2 linked regions of the Struthio camelus genome follow. The protein of the gene in region 1 purifies or fractionates together with the protein of each later gene. This does not show direct contact. Links are inferred from orthologs where the notes say so. Each region holds a gene or a part of one and is shown on either strand. Other genes may lie near its edges.

What was found. Proteins that work in one complex are often made in the same cells at the same time.
Region 2: the proteins of ZCRB1 (region 1) and LARP7 purify together in Homo sapiens (affinity purification with mass spectrometry; 3 studies listed by BioGRID and IntAct, counting the BioPlex papers as one, with this or other methods). This does not show direct contact. The link is inferred for Struthio camelus from reciprocal best matches to the Homo sapiens genes ZCRB1 and LARP7.

What each region holds. Positions count from the first base shown.
Region 1 is NC_090942.1:34,031,272-34,039,357, reverse strand, and holds the start of ZCRB1 (zinc finger CCHC-type and RNA-binding motif-containing protein 1), read left to right. Parts: upstream 1-5,086; 5' UTR 5,087-5,229; exon of another isoform or gene 5,230-5,611; intron 5,612-8,086.
Region 2 is NC_090945.1:23,239,610-23,247,136, reverse strand, and holds the start of LARP7 (la-related protein 7), read left to right. Parts: upstream 1-4,500; 5' UTR 4,501-4,699; intron 4,700-4,794; exon of another isoform or gene 4,795-4,949; intron 4,950-7,527. Other genes in the region: 5'-3' DNA helicase ZGRF1, read right to left, coding at 1-1,619, 1,985-2,170, 2,433-2,489, 2,605-2,685, 2,798-2,818. UniProt on the Homo sapiens protein: RNA-binding protein that specifically binds distinct small nuclear RNA (snRNAs) and regulates their processing and function.

The sequences.
Region 1 (8,086 bases):
TATGTGCACAGACTTCAGCAATTGATGGCTATCCTTACCCAGTTTTTAGACCAACAGCAAAGATTAGAAAATGGATTAAGATTCTGGCTGGTGCTTTCCAAATTTTTGCACATTTTAACAAATACAGTAGCGCCCAGACACTGCTGCCTGGAACACTTACTGAAATTGGGAAGTTAACTCAACATAATTTTCAAAAAAGAACATATTTCAGAGAAATGCCATTAAAGCTGAATGCAAGCTTTCACATCATGCTGCTCTGTCAGTTAAGTCACCTCCAACATCCCAGTACATACTACTGGCAGCAGGCACCGACATTCACGCACATGCCCTACTGAATTATTAGGCAGCACAAGTGATAAAAACACTCCCACTTTTATGACTGCTGAGGGACCACAGTGAAACCAGCAAGAATCACCACCAGATTTTGACCAAAAAAAAAAAAAAACCACACAAGTTCGAGGGGAAAAAAAGAAAAAAAGGGTAGAGACAAACCACCATAAAAGCCAACAGACTGAAGGAAAAAAAACCCCACAGATTTACACAGAATTACATCAAACAAGAAGTATGGGGACAGAAGCAAAATCTCAGTAGGGAGATTCTGCAGTTAGAAAAATAAAATAGAGAAAAATTAATCAGATAGATTCCACCACCAAAAACATTGCCCAAAACACTACTAAGGAAAAATAGGTGACAAATCTTATACAGAGGACTAAGCATACAAATTTTAACTGGGATCAATGAGATAAAGTAAGGATGTTTTTGAAAATACCAGAGGAAAAAAAAGTTTAAAGGGAGGAAAATGTGTTTTTCAGTATCTTGAACGCATTTGATCTGTTACTATTAGAAAATTTCCATTTCTTAAACGACGCGGCCTATTCAGAACACAGCTTTAACAACACATTGCCAACCACAAAAAGTCTAAAATCTTAAGATCAGAATGAGAAAATTCCATTAGCAAGTACTCAAGAGATCAGACTTCAAGTTTACTACACTGTAACCAGATTTATCTGTTCTCTCAGGACAAAGTTGTCCTAAAAATAGATTTTATTATTTTTGTTTTGTCTCCTACCCAACACACTGTAGCTGATATTTTTTTCTATTAGCATATACAGAAGAAGTACTACGAAATTTCTTTAATATTGGGACATACAATCATCTGCCCTATTAATTTAAACAGCCTCTTCCTCATTTTTGGTCAGAGATGACTATTTTCCATAAAGCACGTTCTTTATTCTCTCAAATAATGATACTTCAGCATGCACAGACACCACTCCATTAACGCAGCACAAGCTGCCCCACCGCAGCCAGCTGCCAAGAAGAGCTTTGCTCTGATTCCCCCAGCACTGGGTCTTGCTCTATGCTAGTACAAAAGATGTAATACAAAAAGGTTTTCCTCATCATGGGGATTACAAGAGTCACTAAAACTTTAGATTTTTGGCACATCTTCATTTCTTTGTCAATCAATGATTAATTTTTCATTCTTCCTTTCTAAAGGACACTACATTAAGGGTAAAAAAGAAAAAAAGCCCTCCAGTATTTTCTATATAATTCTTGTCTGTTTCCACTTACTTGAACATCACTTTTCACCATATCTTGAAATATCTACTGCTCCAGGATCTCTAATTTTGAAGACTGTGCTATCAGCCTTTTGCAGGCCCTACAGTTTTGAAACACAAAACATGCAGCTTTCCAACTCAGACAGCTATATCTTGCCATACGTGAACAAAGCATAAAACCAAAGCTGCGCTGTAAATCCAGAGGCAGGCACGGCAACGGTTCTGATGCTACTCAGATATATCTCATTTTATACTGTTAGTGTGACAAACAACTGAAACTGAAAAATCTGGGCCAGTTTAACTCTCTCTGCTGGGAAGTTCTAGAAAGAAACCTCAGGCACTCTTAAATGAGTAAAATTAAAAAAGACGCTTAGAGAATTGCAGACCAACAGAAATATCACAGCCAGTTCTGCAACAGCTGGCAATTGGCACTTTGAGAATAGAAAGAGAAAAAGATGCAGCTTTTTCTTCCAACAGTTAGACCGATTCCAACAATTAGTATTTGACAGCGCTTCAAACATATCCTGGCACCACCTGGTAGAGAGCAGGCAGGACAGATAAAACAGGTTGGGAACAAAGTACTCTCCCTCCACATGCTTGGGAAAGGCTGAAAACACTCAATAAACATATTCTATCCTGGTAACACAATAAAGCAGGAACATAACAACAGAGAGAAAAAGTCCACCAGAGCAGTAAATAAAATTCTCTACTATGAGGAAGGCAGAGAGAAAACACCGGGATACAGAGAGAATCCATCTGTTCCTAATAAATATTAGGCCATAAGATTTTCAAAAGCAATCAGAAGCATGACTACAGCAAGCTTAGGCATATTCAACTTAGATGAGATACCAAAACAAGGTGAAATAAGAGGCGCTCTGCATTTCCCTGTCCTTCCTTCCTAACTATTATGATTAGAAAATATAAAGCTCCAGTATTTTTGTTATCTAAACTACCATTCAACTTTTCTCTGAATCTCTTTAGTTCAAGTCATTTGCTGTTGCATAGAGTTTCATACTCTTGCTATAGGTTAAAATAAATGAGGAAATACTTACCTTACTTCAGTTTTCAACACCTTTCAGCTTTACTGAATACCCATTTGTACTAAGACAAGAACAGACAATATTTGAACTACTGCTATCATGCCTCTCTTTTCATCCCCTTTTTGATCTGAATGATCTGTCATTTCAGTCTCTCTTCACACAAGAGGATCTTCTCCTATGGCTCTAGTCAGTCTGTGAGCCTCCTTAATTTTGCAGTACATACTTTTTGCAAGGTAGGGCTTAAGTAGCGCTTAAAGAAGAATCCCGGGGGCGGGGGGGAAGGGCACTGGAAACAGGGCCAGGATCAATTATCGTATACAACTACAACCTAAAAGATTCGTAATGACATGTACCACTGATTTACAAGGGGAGAAAAATCCATGTTATTTTCCTCAGCTGCTCCTTGTTCATCGTTTGTTCTTTTGGCTACACAGAAAAGCATTCACTGACACCACAATCCAGAGGTGAAGGTCCTTTTCCAGATGAGATGCATTTAACTTGAAAGCCTGTAAAACATTTGTCTAGATCCATGCTTCCCTTTAATATGCATTAATGCACATTTATTGACATGGAGCCTCACTTGCCATTGTATCAACTATTTTCCAACCCCTTACACTTCTGATACTCCTTCCAATCTTTTTGACTTAAAATTAGGAAAAAATCAATTTAGCAAAGTACGGCTCACCAAAGTCAAATTAATTCCCAATTCAGAAGGAAAAGAGCCAAAGTGTATAAGTTGAAAAGAAAATATTAACAAGAGTATTCTGATAAAGACTTAAAATCCCACCGGTTTACGTTTCTAGTCACATCATTTCATTCTATCACTGGGAGCACAAGAAATGAAGGCAAGGGTTTAGGGATATATTTATATAAAGACTGATGTATCAGCAATTTTCTTTATGTGAACACCCGTGGTTACCAACATCCTGTCCTTCATCAGTGTCAATGCCACAAAAAAAATGTTCTACCAAGCTGTGACAGGGCTGCTGTGCTAAGAACATCGATGCAAACAACTGTGTGGATCACTGCTTCCACAGTGCCATTTCACCTTACAGCACAAACATTCTGACAACAAAATATCACCATACTGCTGCTGTAACAGGTCAAGACCTCCGTGCTTTAAGCATTTCCACTTGAGAGTACCAACAAACCCTGAATATTTCATCCAAGCCAAATCAGTAGCTCAGCCTCCGCTAATCACCTGTACTGATTCTGTGGATTTCCACACATTTGTGTATCTTACAGTACCTCTGAAGTCTCAGACACCTCAAATAAAGAATAATTTTAAAACAATCCATCCAAATTCTAAACCAGAGTAAAGAGCCTACTTAAAAAGCATGAGAGAGAAGTGAGAACTGTGAAGAGCAGACTTAAAACGCTGGGATACCAACAAAGAGTTTAAGTACATAACAGAACAACCCATTGTTAAGTAAAATAAGTTCAAAATAACTCTCAAAACTATGCAGAATTATGACATCCTTCCTTTCAGGATAAAAAGTCAAAGTAAACTGAAAAATGAATTGTTCTGTTGTGCATAGGTTTAAAAAGAGTGATTAAGAAGAAAAAAAGCAAAAACCAAAACCTACGTTTATACAGTTGTCATCCAAAATTCATACACGAATCCTGAAATAACGGCCTTCTGCCAAGGAGAGGCTATCCCTCTGCTTTCTCCTATCCCAGTACTTCCCCTCACACCAACCTCTAAGAAGCTACAGAGAACTACATGGATTCCAGTCAAATTGATACTGGCTTTCTGCAGAAGTTATAGGAGGAACGTGCACCTTCTGCGGCTCGCAGGTGCCGCTGTCTCGCCAGACCGACCTCAGAACTGCATTTTCAAATGCACTTACATGCTCAAGTAAGCAAACGAGCCCAGAGCTGGAACCACAAGAGAACTTAAAAACAGTGAATACCCAACTGCTTCTAACGTCAAGCAGAGGTCAAGCACTCCGGTCGCTGGCTCACGAAAACTTTTGGTGCTCTGACACCCCCACCGCCTCGCAAACAGAGCGACGGTATAAACGACCGCAACCCGAACGCGGCATAAGAAGCCTCCCGAGAGGAAAAATTTAAAAAAGAAAAAAAGAGCTTTCAGCTTCAGGCTAAAGGCGAAACAGATGAGAACTCGCACAACATCGGATTCACTCCGACACCCTGAAAACCGACAGCGCCCGAGGCGCTGCCAGCACCAAGACGCGCAGGCCGCCGCCGGCCCCCGAGCCCGGCCCGGCCCGCGGCGGCGCCCGCTGCGCACGGCCGCCAGCGCGGGCACGGGGGCGCCCCCCAGCGCGGGGGGGGGGCTCTCCGCGGGGCGGGGGGGGGGATCCCGGGGCGCGCTCACCGTGCGTGTCCGCCCGCGGTGCGGCGGCGGCGGCGGCGGCCGCCCCTCTCCCGCCAGCGGCGCGGCGAACCCCTCACTAGCACCGCGCCTCCCTAGCGCCACCTCCGGCGCTCGCTCCTGCGTCACCGGAAGCACCCGCCTCCTTCCCCTCATTCCCATCGCGTACTGGTCGGGGGACGTGTTTATCCTGTTACGTCACGGAAGCGCGCCGCTGCCGCTGCCGGAGCGGAGGCGGGGAAGGGGCGCGACGGCGCCATGAGCGCTCGGGCGGCCTGAGCGCCCGCCGTGCCGGGTAGGGGCGTCGGGCGGGGGTCCCGGGGCGGGGGAGCTCGGCACCGCCCGCCGTCGCTTCGCTCGCGGCCCACGCTGTGCGTGCGAGGAGCCCGTTGCGTCGGCGGGGCCCCGCCGCGGCCGGAGGGACAAGGCCGGGGCGGGGGGCAGCTGCCCTCTGAGCGAGTTGCTGGTGCAGCTTTGTGACGAAGCGTTTGTGCTTGGCTGGGGCTTTTATCTTCTCCTTAAAGGCAGCAGGTGCGGGGGGCAGGTGTGCGGGTTCGCGCTGCGCCCTCACAGAGGTTCGGCGGGGTGGGAGCAGCGGTGGCGCTGCGGGGGGCGGTGGCTGCACGGAGGAGCTTCGGCGCGGGGGAAGGAGCAGTTTACCATCGTGCAGCGGTTAGGTAAGGCTAAATAAGCTGTTGATAGGGTCCATACCGGTGTCGAAGACCCCCCTTTTTTTAGCATGATTTACAGCTTAATGCTTCTGTGCGGTATATGGAAGTTTTCAAATAAGCTATAGGTTTCTGATCCTAGTATTGGCTTGCAGCTGGCTAAGCTGTGATGTGGAAGTACTTTGTCTCAGTTAAGGGTTTTAGGACGAGTTGGTGTTACTAAGTGAGCTGACTGGATCTGCCGTTTGTAGCTGAAATTCGAGATTAGACTAAATGTGACAGAACCACACAGCTCTTCAGCACTATACATCTCCAGTATGCTGGGATTCTGGTTAAACTGTAAAGCTATATAGTCCTTGTTGGTGGCCTGGCTGCTATGTCTCATTGTCCCGAAGTTTTTTGTAGTTAAGTACAGTATAAGAGTATTGCTCATTCGGAGTACAGATCCTGATAGTGTCTGTTCCTGGCTTGGGCAGGTAGAAAGACCTTACACTCTTTCTGCTGATATTGTCAGCTTTATAGACCTAATTCTGATCCTATTTAATGTCTTCCTCTTAAGATTTAAGTAACTATGTAGAGATAAAACTACGTATCAGACTTTGTTCTGATAACTTATTACTTGTCTCTTGTGTAGAAAAGAAGGGTAACAAATGATTGAGTGCCCTAGCCTGGGACCAAGGAGAACATGGATTCAGTTTCTTCCTTTACTGCAGACGTTTGATAATGAGCTTGAGCCAAGTTGCTATAACGATTATGTTTGTTTATTTGGATTTAAACTTTGTCGATGGTCCTAAATAAGAAATCAAATATGGAGTTTTAAGCGTGAAAATAAATAAATGAATGAATAGAAACCTCAAGTGATTGTCTTGAGTAAGCATGTGTTGAGTAAATTGTCCACAATGTATTTGTGTTTCAGTTCATTAAGTCACTAACTTAACTTGTTTCTCTTCACTTAAAAAAAAAAAAGTTTGTGCTTAAGTTGAAACGTTGATGTTAAGGCATTTTTATGTCTTGCTATGTTAAGGCATAAAAAGTTTGGCAAATTCAGAGTCCACCTGATGCCCAGTATATCTTTCAGGAGTCTTAATCATCACCAGGAGATGCATCTTGTCAGAATAATGGCTTTGTTTGGTTTCAGTTGTTGGAGAAGACAGAAAGATTAAATTCAAGAAATCATAGTGATGAGAGAGGACCCTATCCCAAAAGTTATTATGTGAAAATGATAAATGAGGAAGGATTAATACTGCAGCTTGGCTGATCCTTTAATAGGAGTTGTACTTTGCCCCATGAAGATATTGTACTGGCTTCCAACTGATGTTTTAAAGTTAAGTGTCCAAGTGGTACCTTGAAGATGAGGGAATCCACATAAAAGCATTCAGTATAAAGCAAAATGTTTCAGCTTTCTTGGGGAGCTCTGGGATATAGAAGCCAGGTTTTACGTGACTCAGGTGAGTCTCCTGCAGCAAGTAGAAAGCTCAGGGTTTTTAATATTTTTTTTTTTCCTTTGATCGGTCTGTGAAGTGAAACCCTTCAGAGCAGAGAGACTGGTGTTCAAGAAGAATGTGATGAAAATATTAAACTTGGATAGATTTTTGCTGTTATAAAGTTCCTGAAGAAAAAGGCAGTGGAGCCTTGTAACAGAAGAGTGTGTCTTCTAGACAGTCAGCTCAAAGTGGGGATTGGAATTTTTTTTTTTTTTAATATTTTTGCAACACTGGAAGAAATTGGACCAATAAATGTGAAGCTGGTATGGCAAAGTTAGCATCTACTAATGGCAGAGGGAGGGGAAGTCATTCATAGGACTTTGGTGCTTCATACCCTATCGGCTATAGTGGCCTCTTGATGGTTTAAACCATCAACAGCGGATTAATTGTGACAGAGTCAGAATTAAGAGGTATGCTGTTTTGTTAAAGTTTTTGAGGATGGGAGGAGTTGTACCAGTAGCTGGATCTAAAAATCCACTGATAGCACCATACCCAGAAGAGATAACCAGGAGTCAGCACTTTAACATGCCCGAGTTTTTGAGAGATTGCTATTAGTAAACTGTTAGGCCTAAATGTTCTGTGAAAGACTTAGTAAGGACATCCATGTTTTTATGTAGACTGAATGGCCCAAATGTTGCAATTCTACAAACCTGTCAGTGTACCTGCTGGCTTAAATAAGTATTTATAAGGCATCTCAGTGACCCCTTAGTATTTGCAACAGAAAGTCCTCTTGCAGGTTCAGGGAAGTACTGTTTCCTGGTAAATTTGAAACTTTGTCATCTTAACATGAGAATGGCAGTGGTCTTACAGCTACTTTGCTTCTTGTTTTATTAAAATTGCGGCTGTCCACTGAGTCAGACATTAAAAGTAAGATGACAGAAATCCTAGCATAATAATCCTAAAGGACAGAAGTTGCAAAGAATATTTGGGCGGGTAAAGTAGCGACAGTATTTCACTTGGATTCATCTTGGGGACTAGAAGCAAAGCTCAGCCTTGCCTG
Region 2 (7,527 bases), on another chromosome or scaffold:
TTTAATTGACTTTCATTAATCTGTTTTATTTTGTTTATATCATCCAAAAGTTCCATTTCAATTCTGGCGGGGCTTACAAAGTCTTCCGCAGTTCTCCCAATATCGCCAATGCCGCTGTCACAAAGCGGCAACGGTACACCTCCTGGACAGTGATTTCCATCATTCCCTCTGTCAAACGTTAAACCTCTGACTTCTTCCTTTTTACTGTGTGGTGTTACTTCACAGCAAGAACGAAGTCTCAGCTCAACAGTTTGTGCTGCGTCTTTTCCCTTTAAGCAAACTGGACCTTGTGAAAGCATGTCTCCTTCACCAAGCTCTTTCACATCTCTTTCACACAGCTCTCTATTGTCTGTGTCATTAAAATCAAAAGCCTCTAATAAATTGAAATTCACCTCCATCACCTCTTCTTCTGGACCACTGTCTCTGCCATGTGTACTTAATTCCTCTTTCACAACTACATGACCAGTCAATGCTACGTCCGCAGAGAGCTCCAAGTCACTGGACACTGTTTCTGAATTTCGTCTCAGCTGGAGTTCATTTTGTGACTTTGAAGATGAATCCTCTTTAAGACCATTAGTCACTGAACGCTCTCTGCATGTGGAGAGATTTGTTTCAAGGACGATGGACTCAGCTGGACTTGCTGAATAAGAAATATCACTTAAGGATGGGACACATTGACTGTTGCTCATTTTACTTATGCTAGATTCAGATAGGAAGCAACTATTTGGATGGTCACTAGCAGCACATTTGTTAATCGATAATGGTTTAGGTACCCCATCACTTCTAGAGAATGAGGGTTCTCGACATCTTTCACAATCCCAAATGCATTGCCTTTTGCTGTCTGTTAAATTCATACAGACACACATTTTTTCAGGGTGCAAAGTCTTTGTATTGCAGGGGTCTTGTAAATCTTGACTTAAGATATTTGCCTTTCTGTCACGTCTTTGTCCCGCAACTTCTTTATCACAAGCTTGTTCAGCTGAATTTAGAAGCATTTCAGCATTCCATTCCCTTTCATCACTTCCAGTTTCCTTTGTAGAATGTTGGTGCTGAATATTTTGAGTAAAACCTTTGCCGGGGTTGCCTGAAAAGCCAGGTGGGGTTGTACTCTTCTGGTTATAGAAACTATCTATATTTTCTGAGGTCTGAAACTTAGAATGGCATTCCGTGACTTCAGAAATTGTTTGCTCTGTGCATAGGTGGGCTGGTTTAGACTTCAAAAGAGCAATTATCTGTGCTGTGCTCCTGATGTTCTGCGACACCGCCACACGACTGGTTGCCTTGGTGTGCTCACTAATTAGAGGATATTCTGGCTTCACAATGGACTGATCAGAGTTACTCTTCTCTGTCTCTTTATACGTCTCAAGAAATGGAGCTGAAACCAGTGAGGTGAAGGACACATGTTCTTTATCATTGTTTGTATACACATTTTCATGAAAGCTGGTGGATACATTTGTGTCTGCATCCTTCTTGCAAACAGTAGAAAATAAGGGAGAGGTGATATAAAACTTAGATGGCAAGGAACTCTGACACTGCTTAGATAAAGGCAATAATGTTGCTTTTTCTTCATCTTCCTTTGCTGATATTTTCTTTTCAACTTGACGTGGCCCTTGGAAACCCTAAGAGAAAAGTTTAAAATTAATTCTACTCAGAAATCAACCTCACATTTTGTAATCTAAAAGATGAAAACAGGACATGCTTCATAAACCATATTCTGACCAAATATCACAATGATTCCATACACGTACAGAAATAATCTCAAACCCTTGTGACTTTCACTGTACCCCTAGCAACAGCAATTCTGCTAAACCCAAGAAAGATTTAATAAACTACGAAAAAAGAGCTTCCAGTAACATATTCTGATTTACAGTTCCAAAAAAAAGCAGGAAGACATTATCTGTATATTCATCATTCATTTAAAAATGTGCCCTTGGTGTTTTAAAATGCATGTTAATGTCAGACAACCTTTGAAACAAAGACATACTGTAAACTTCCTTTTCAACCCAACAGGCAGGTGTCTTGGAGGCAGACCACCAGGCTTTACGCCATTTCTATTCACTGCTGGAGTTTCTGCTTTCCTTGGCTGATCTTCAGAAGATTTTTCATTCAGTTTTACTGCTTCAACTGTGATCAAATAGCGTTCACTTTCTAAATTATCTCCAGCATTCACCTAGGAAAGATAAGGCAGCAGTGGGTACACAATAGTGCTGCGTAAGAAACACAAACAATTCCCTCTAAATGTTGTGATACTTGCACATAAGAGTCAAAAACGTAATATTTTTCACTCATAAGAAATAAGAAACTATCAGCCATATCGCTAGAGAGAAAAAGTACTACCTTAATTACCAAACAAACAAGGGTTTGGAAGGCTTCCTGCAACACAAACCACAATCATAAGCATACAAATAAAAAAAATCCAAAACAAAATATACCTGAGATTTTATAAACAAACTCTCCAAACATTGTCCTTTATCATCAAACAAGATTGCCTACAATGAAAAGAAATCGTTATTTTAAATAATGAATTTTATTTCACAGATCTACTACATGGCACTGATAGTCAAACAGCAGCAGATGATATCAAATTGTATTAAATTTGTTCACCTTATTTCCTCCAGTTCTAATCCTCAGAATTCCATCTTGCCATGTTTTTGATTTTTTCATTTTTTGGTGAGTGTATAGTACCTGATTTAAATGTTGAAATAGTGATAAGTAAGAAAATGTTTAAATAATACAGCAGCTACATCGATATTGACTTTTTTACTCACTGGCCTACAGTGTAAAAAAAAAGACTTACAGTAAACTCTTGAGAAGCCATTGTTTTGGCACAACGTTCGTCCAACAGCTTATTCTGCAAATATTCATACCTTCATACAGCCTGAGAGACAGGAAAATTTTCAGAATTCAGCATAGTTGTAAGGGAAATGTACTGAAAAAAACAGATGCCAGTTCACTTATTTTTTCTCAAGAGTAGAAAGCTAGATGCAAAAAAAAAAAAAAAGTAAAAAAACTCCACACACACCTTGGCTCTCCACCTCAAGGCATGTGTGATGTGGGAATTCTAAAGACACACCTTGAAAATAATTTAACAGAAAGTCTGTTGGTTAAAAAAAAATTAATAATTTATATACACCAACGTCCATTTTAAATTAATTTAAATGAATGTCTAGCAACTCTGAAAACTCCATTGATCACATAGCACTTTGAAATTACAAATTATCCTAATTGTGTTCACTTGCAGCAAGAAAATATGGAAATTATTAACAGACTAACTTTGTCAAGAGTTTATTGACTTGACTTGGTCACGCATGCTTAACTCACATTCAAGATAACTGATTTTCAAAATCAGCTGCCCGTGAAGTCAAGCCTCTTTACATATTTAAAGCTAGACCAAAATAACTTTTAAAGTAGCTTCCGATGGTGAAAATGGGAACAAAACTTTATAAAAGCAACTTGTCTTTAGAAGCTGGGGCTTACTGTACATTTTGGTTGCTAATATTTGATCAGTACTGTGATTTACACCAGCGCTTAAAGAGCAGCACTTAAGACCTTATTTAGTTTAATCAATTAATGGCATTGCAATGAAAACGCATCACAAGAAATAACATAACATTTCCAGTTATTCTCACACTGCAGCTCAGTGAGAAATACTTTAATATAAAGTAGCTACACACAGGCACATTCATGCTTCTTCTCATGGCGCTGTTTCTTACAGCCGTCACGTTCTTGGCAGCCCCCGGATCAGCACTGTGGATAGTGACACACTTTTCAGAAGCAAACACAAGAAAAGATGTTTAGCAACGTACGAAACCTAGGGAAGAAAGGGAGACGTTCTCTAGGGACACAGAATACCTCCTCTAGCTATTAAAAACAATGCGAATACTTACTATGATTTAGCACAGCAAGCAGCAAAAGCGGGAGTGAATACGAACGCTGCCAGCATTAAGTTTATACAGATTTGCTAAAGGCTCGCTCTTAACACGTCGTACAGGTTAAGCCCCGTGCTAACGGTCAGGGCAGCTGTACGCATTTGCCCTCAGTACGCGGGTGCTCCACTAAAGCCTGCCTCCTCACGGACCTCCCTGCTCCAGGGCAACGCCATCCCCGCGCCGGGGAGGCCCCCGCCCCGCCGCCAAAGCTTGCGCCAGCCGTTAGCGACCCCGCGGCCGTTAGCGACCCCCGCCGCCGCCGCCAACGGCCGAGCCGCTCCCTGCGGGCGCGCGGCGGCGGCCACGCCACGCTACGTCACCTGACGTCACAGCCCCCTTGCGGGAGCGGGGGGTCGCGCGAGCCTCGCAGCCCCCCGCCCACCTGTCCCCGGCGCTCGCTCCCTCCGCGCGTTCGAAAGCTTCCCGCCACTGCCGGCGTGACGTCACTACACGCCGACAGCCAGCGAGACAGGCCCCCCTCCCCTCCCCTCCCCCGCCCGCGAGGAGCGAATCACGCGCCCGCAGCGAGGCGAGGCGTCGCCGCCGCTGCCGCCGCCCTCCCCCCGCTGCCGCACTGCGCATGCGTGCGCGGCGCCCCGGGGCTTTTCTCTGCCAGGGGGCCGCGCGTCGCGCGGGGGCTGACGGCCGGTGAGGGCTGAGGGAGGGGGCGGGGCTGCGGCGAGAGGCGGGCGCGGACGGCGCGGCGCGGCCCCGGTGTCCCCCTGCGAAGTCGGCCTCTTCGGGTCCCCACCGGCGGGTGACGGCGACAGGTCAGTGGCGCGGCGGCCGGTGGCGGCGACCGTCGGGGGCCGCTCTCGCTGCGGCGGCGCAGGCAGGGGGCGCTGCCGCCCCTCCCTGCGCCGCCGCCTTCGTGCGCATGCGCGGGCGCTCCTGGGGCCGCAGGCCGTTAGGGGGCGGCTCGTGCCGGGCGGGCCGTTGGGTCTCTGCGGCGGAGGCGGCCGGCGGGGGGCGCCATCTTGTCGCGTCCGTGCCGGGGTGCGGCGTATGCGTCTCCCTGAGGTACCGTCCCAGAATCGCAGAATGGTTGAGGTTGGAAGGGACCTCTGGAGATCATCTAGTCCAATCCCCCTGCTCAAGCAGGGACCTCTAGAGCATATTGCCCAGGATCACATCCAGGCGGGTTTTGGATATCTCCAGCGAAGGAGACTCCACAACCTCTCTGGGCAACCTGATCCAGTGGTCTGTCACGCCTGGGCTAACCTCTGCCTTTGCTTCCTGCAGACGCAGCGGGTCGGTGAGCAATCTGAGTAGCAGGGCTGAAACCTGCAGTGGTCAATACCTAAATAGTTGGCAAACATATAGTGGTTGGCCTCTTCAGGGACTGTCATTTTGCCAGTTGCTTCAGTGGCAGAGATTGCAATGGGGCTAGGAAAACTTGTACATCGTGCCTCTCCTCTTTGAAGGGGAGAGAAGAGGAAGTTCACCCTATAGTTGTGTAGTGCCTCTGAGCTGGTCTGTTTGCAGCCACTAAAAGGGCGGCAGAATGTCTTGCTTTTGTAACCTCTCTATGCTGTACCTGAGGGCTCATCCCTGCAGCTTCCCTTCGTCATCTGTGCTGCTTATTAAGTCCTTTAATGAGTTGACCTAACCCACTTACCCAGCAGAGAAGTAAGACTACAAAATAGTAACTTCTCAGATCAGAGAGCTGAACTGCCTCCCCAGAGGATGATACAGACTCTGAGGGAGGACTGTGTAGTGAGTAAGACAGGAACCAGGCTGTCCTTTTAGTGTTAGTGTGAATTGTTGGTTCATACAGCTGAATCAGTCTAATTGTATTCCTTAATTCTGCACCTGAAGCTAGGCTTATTGCACTTATGACCCAGAATGGCCTTTGCTAGCCATTGCAATGAAGAATGGGAAAATGAGACTCTGGAACAGGAGTTGTGACAGTAGATGAGTTTGGTGGTTGTCCACTTACTTCAGCTGTGAAAAAAGGAGATGATGTGACTGACTTTGTTTGCAGAGTTATTTGGGATCCACTGATTAAATGTCTTGCTAGAGGTGCCTGTTTTCTTGTTATTGCAGTTGCCTTGTGCTGTGGGCCTGCATTTTATTCAAAACCTCCCTTTCAGGCTCTAGTGATGACAGAGAAACGGTGACCACGGCAGGCCTGGCACAGTAAGGTCTGCCCATGTCTGGAGACAGCCGTAACAGCCATCACTGTCCTGTGGAAGCTGAACCTTTTCTGTTTGTGAGCACACTAGTCCTAGGATCCATACTCAGCATTTTATGACATCTTTTGTATGTCTTAAATGTCAGTTTAAAATTACCTACTAGTTTCGTGGTTCAAATCGGAAGAAAGCAGAAGGCTCTCTGTTGTTAGGTTATGTAGCAAAGCGTGCTAGTCTTCATGTAACTTTTGTCCTTTCTCAGGTCACTTTCTGCCTAATTAAGTTATTAGGTAGGGTATGAATTCAAACTAGTGCAGCTCTTCCTGTTTATCTATTAGAATAAGAATATCCAACATAGATGACAAAATGCATCTTTGAAAGTAGTTTAAATTATGCTGAATATCTACTTTTAGTTTGGCATATGTATCTAAAAGAGGAAACACTATATGGAAACATTTTCATAGCCTAAAAAGTATTTTGAATGATTCTTGCCACTCTTGTTTCTTGATACTTAAAATCGTAAAAGCAAACAAGCGTATGTATATTGATACTTAAAACAAGGGAACTGGATATTTTACAATTGGGACTATATTTCTTGCAGACTCTGGATGACAGTTGCATTTGATTATGCTTTTCTAGTGTCCTTGTAACAGTAGAAGTTGGGGGTTTGAAACTTGTCTCTATACAGAATAGCACCAATTTGGTTACCATTTGTCTTCTATAAAGTGTTTAGACAAAGCACTATAGATTTGTGTGAACCTGCATTATTTTTATTTACATGTCCTTTGTTTTTCTGGATTTCCCCCTTTCCTCACCTACCCTGCCAGCCTGCCTAATTGCCCTCCTTTTCCCACTTTCAGTCTTGCGCATAGGGAATATGTGATTTTATTTTATATGAGAAAGACTAAATGAGAGTAGTTGTTCTAATAGGCAGAAATCTTGACCCTGCTTGTGCTTTCTTCTGATTTTTATTGTTAAACAAAACAGTGTTTGCAACTGCAAGGGTGGCAAATTAGCGAAAATGCAGGCATGTTGTATAGCTTTGGGCTGCAGCTTTCATTGCTGAATTGAGATTTGCACCAGTAATTGCGAAGAAAAGGAATGCTAACAAAAAAAGTCGAACTCAAAGCATTTCCTTATTTGTAAACAATATTTTCTTATATTGTGAATTAAACTCAATGATCTCTCACATACGATTATTTCACTACTAAATGTAAAATTGTACACAAATTGTAAGATGGATTCGTAGCTGACGTTTGCTCTGATGCGTTTCTAAGTGCCTCCAAAATCTCATTCCGAAAGATTCATTCCTGAAACAGTAGCAGAAAGGGAGTGCCATAAAAAGAGCAGAATATAGCTTGCAACTTTTTTTGTGTTTCCTTTAAGCTCGAATGAGAACTTGTCTCCTGGGAAAGAAGTCCCAAGGCTGAGTGACTCAAAATGCATGAAGTACTTTAGATGTATCC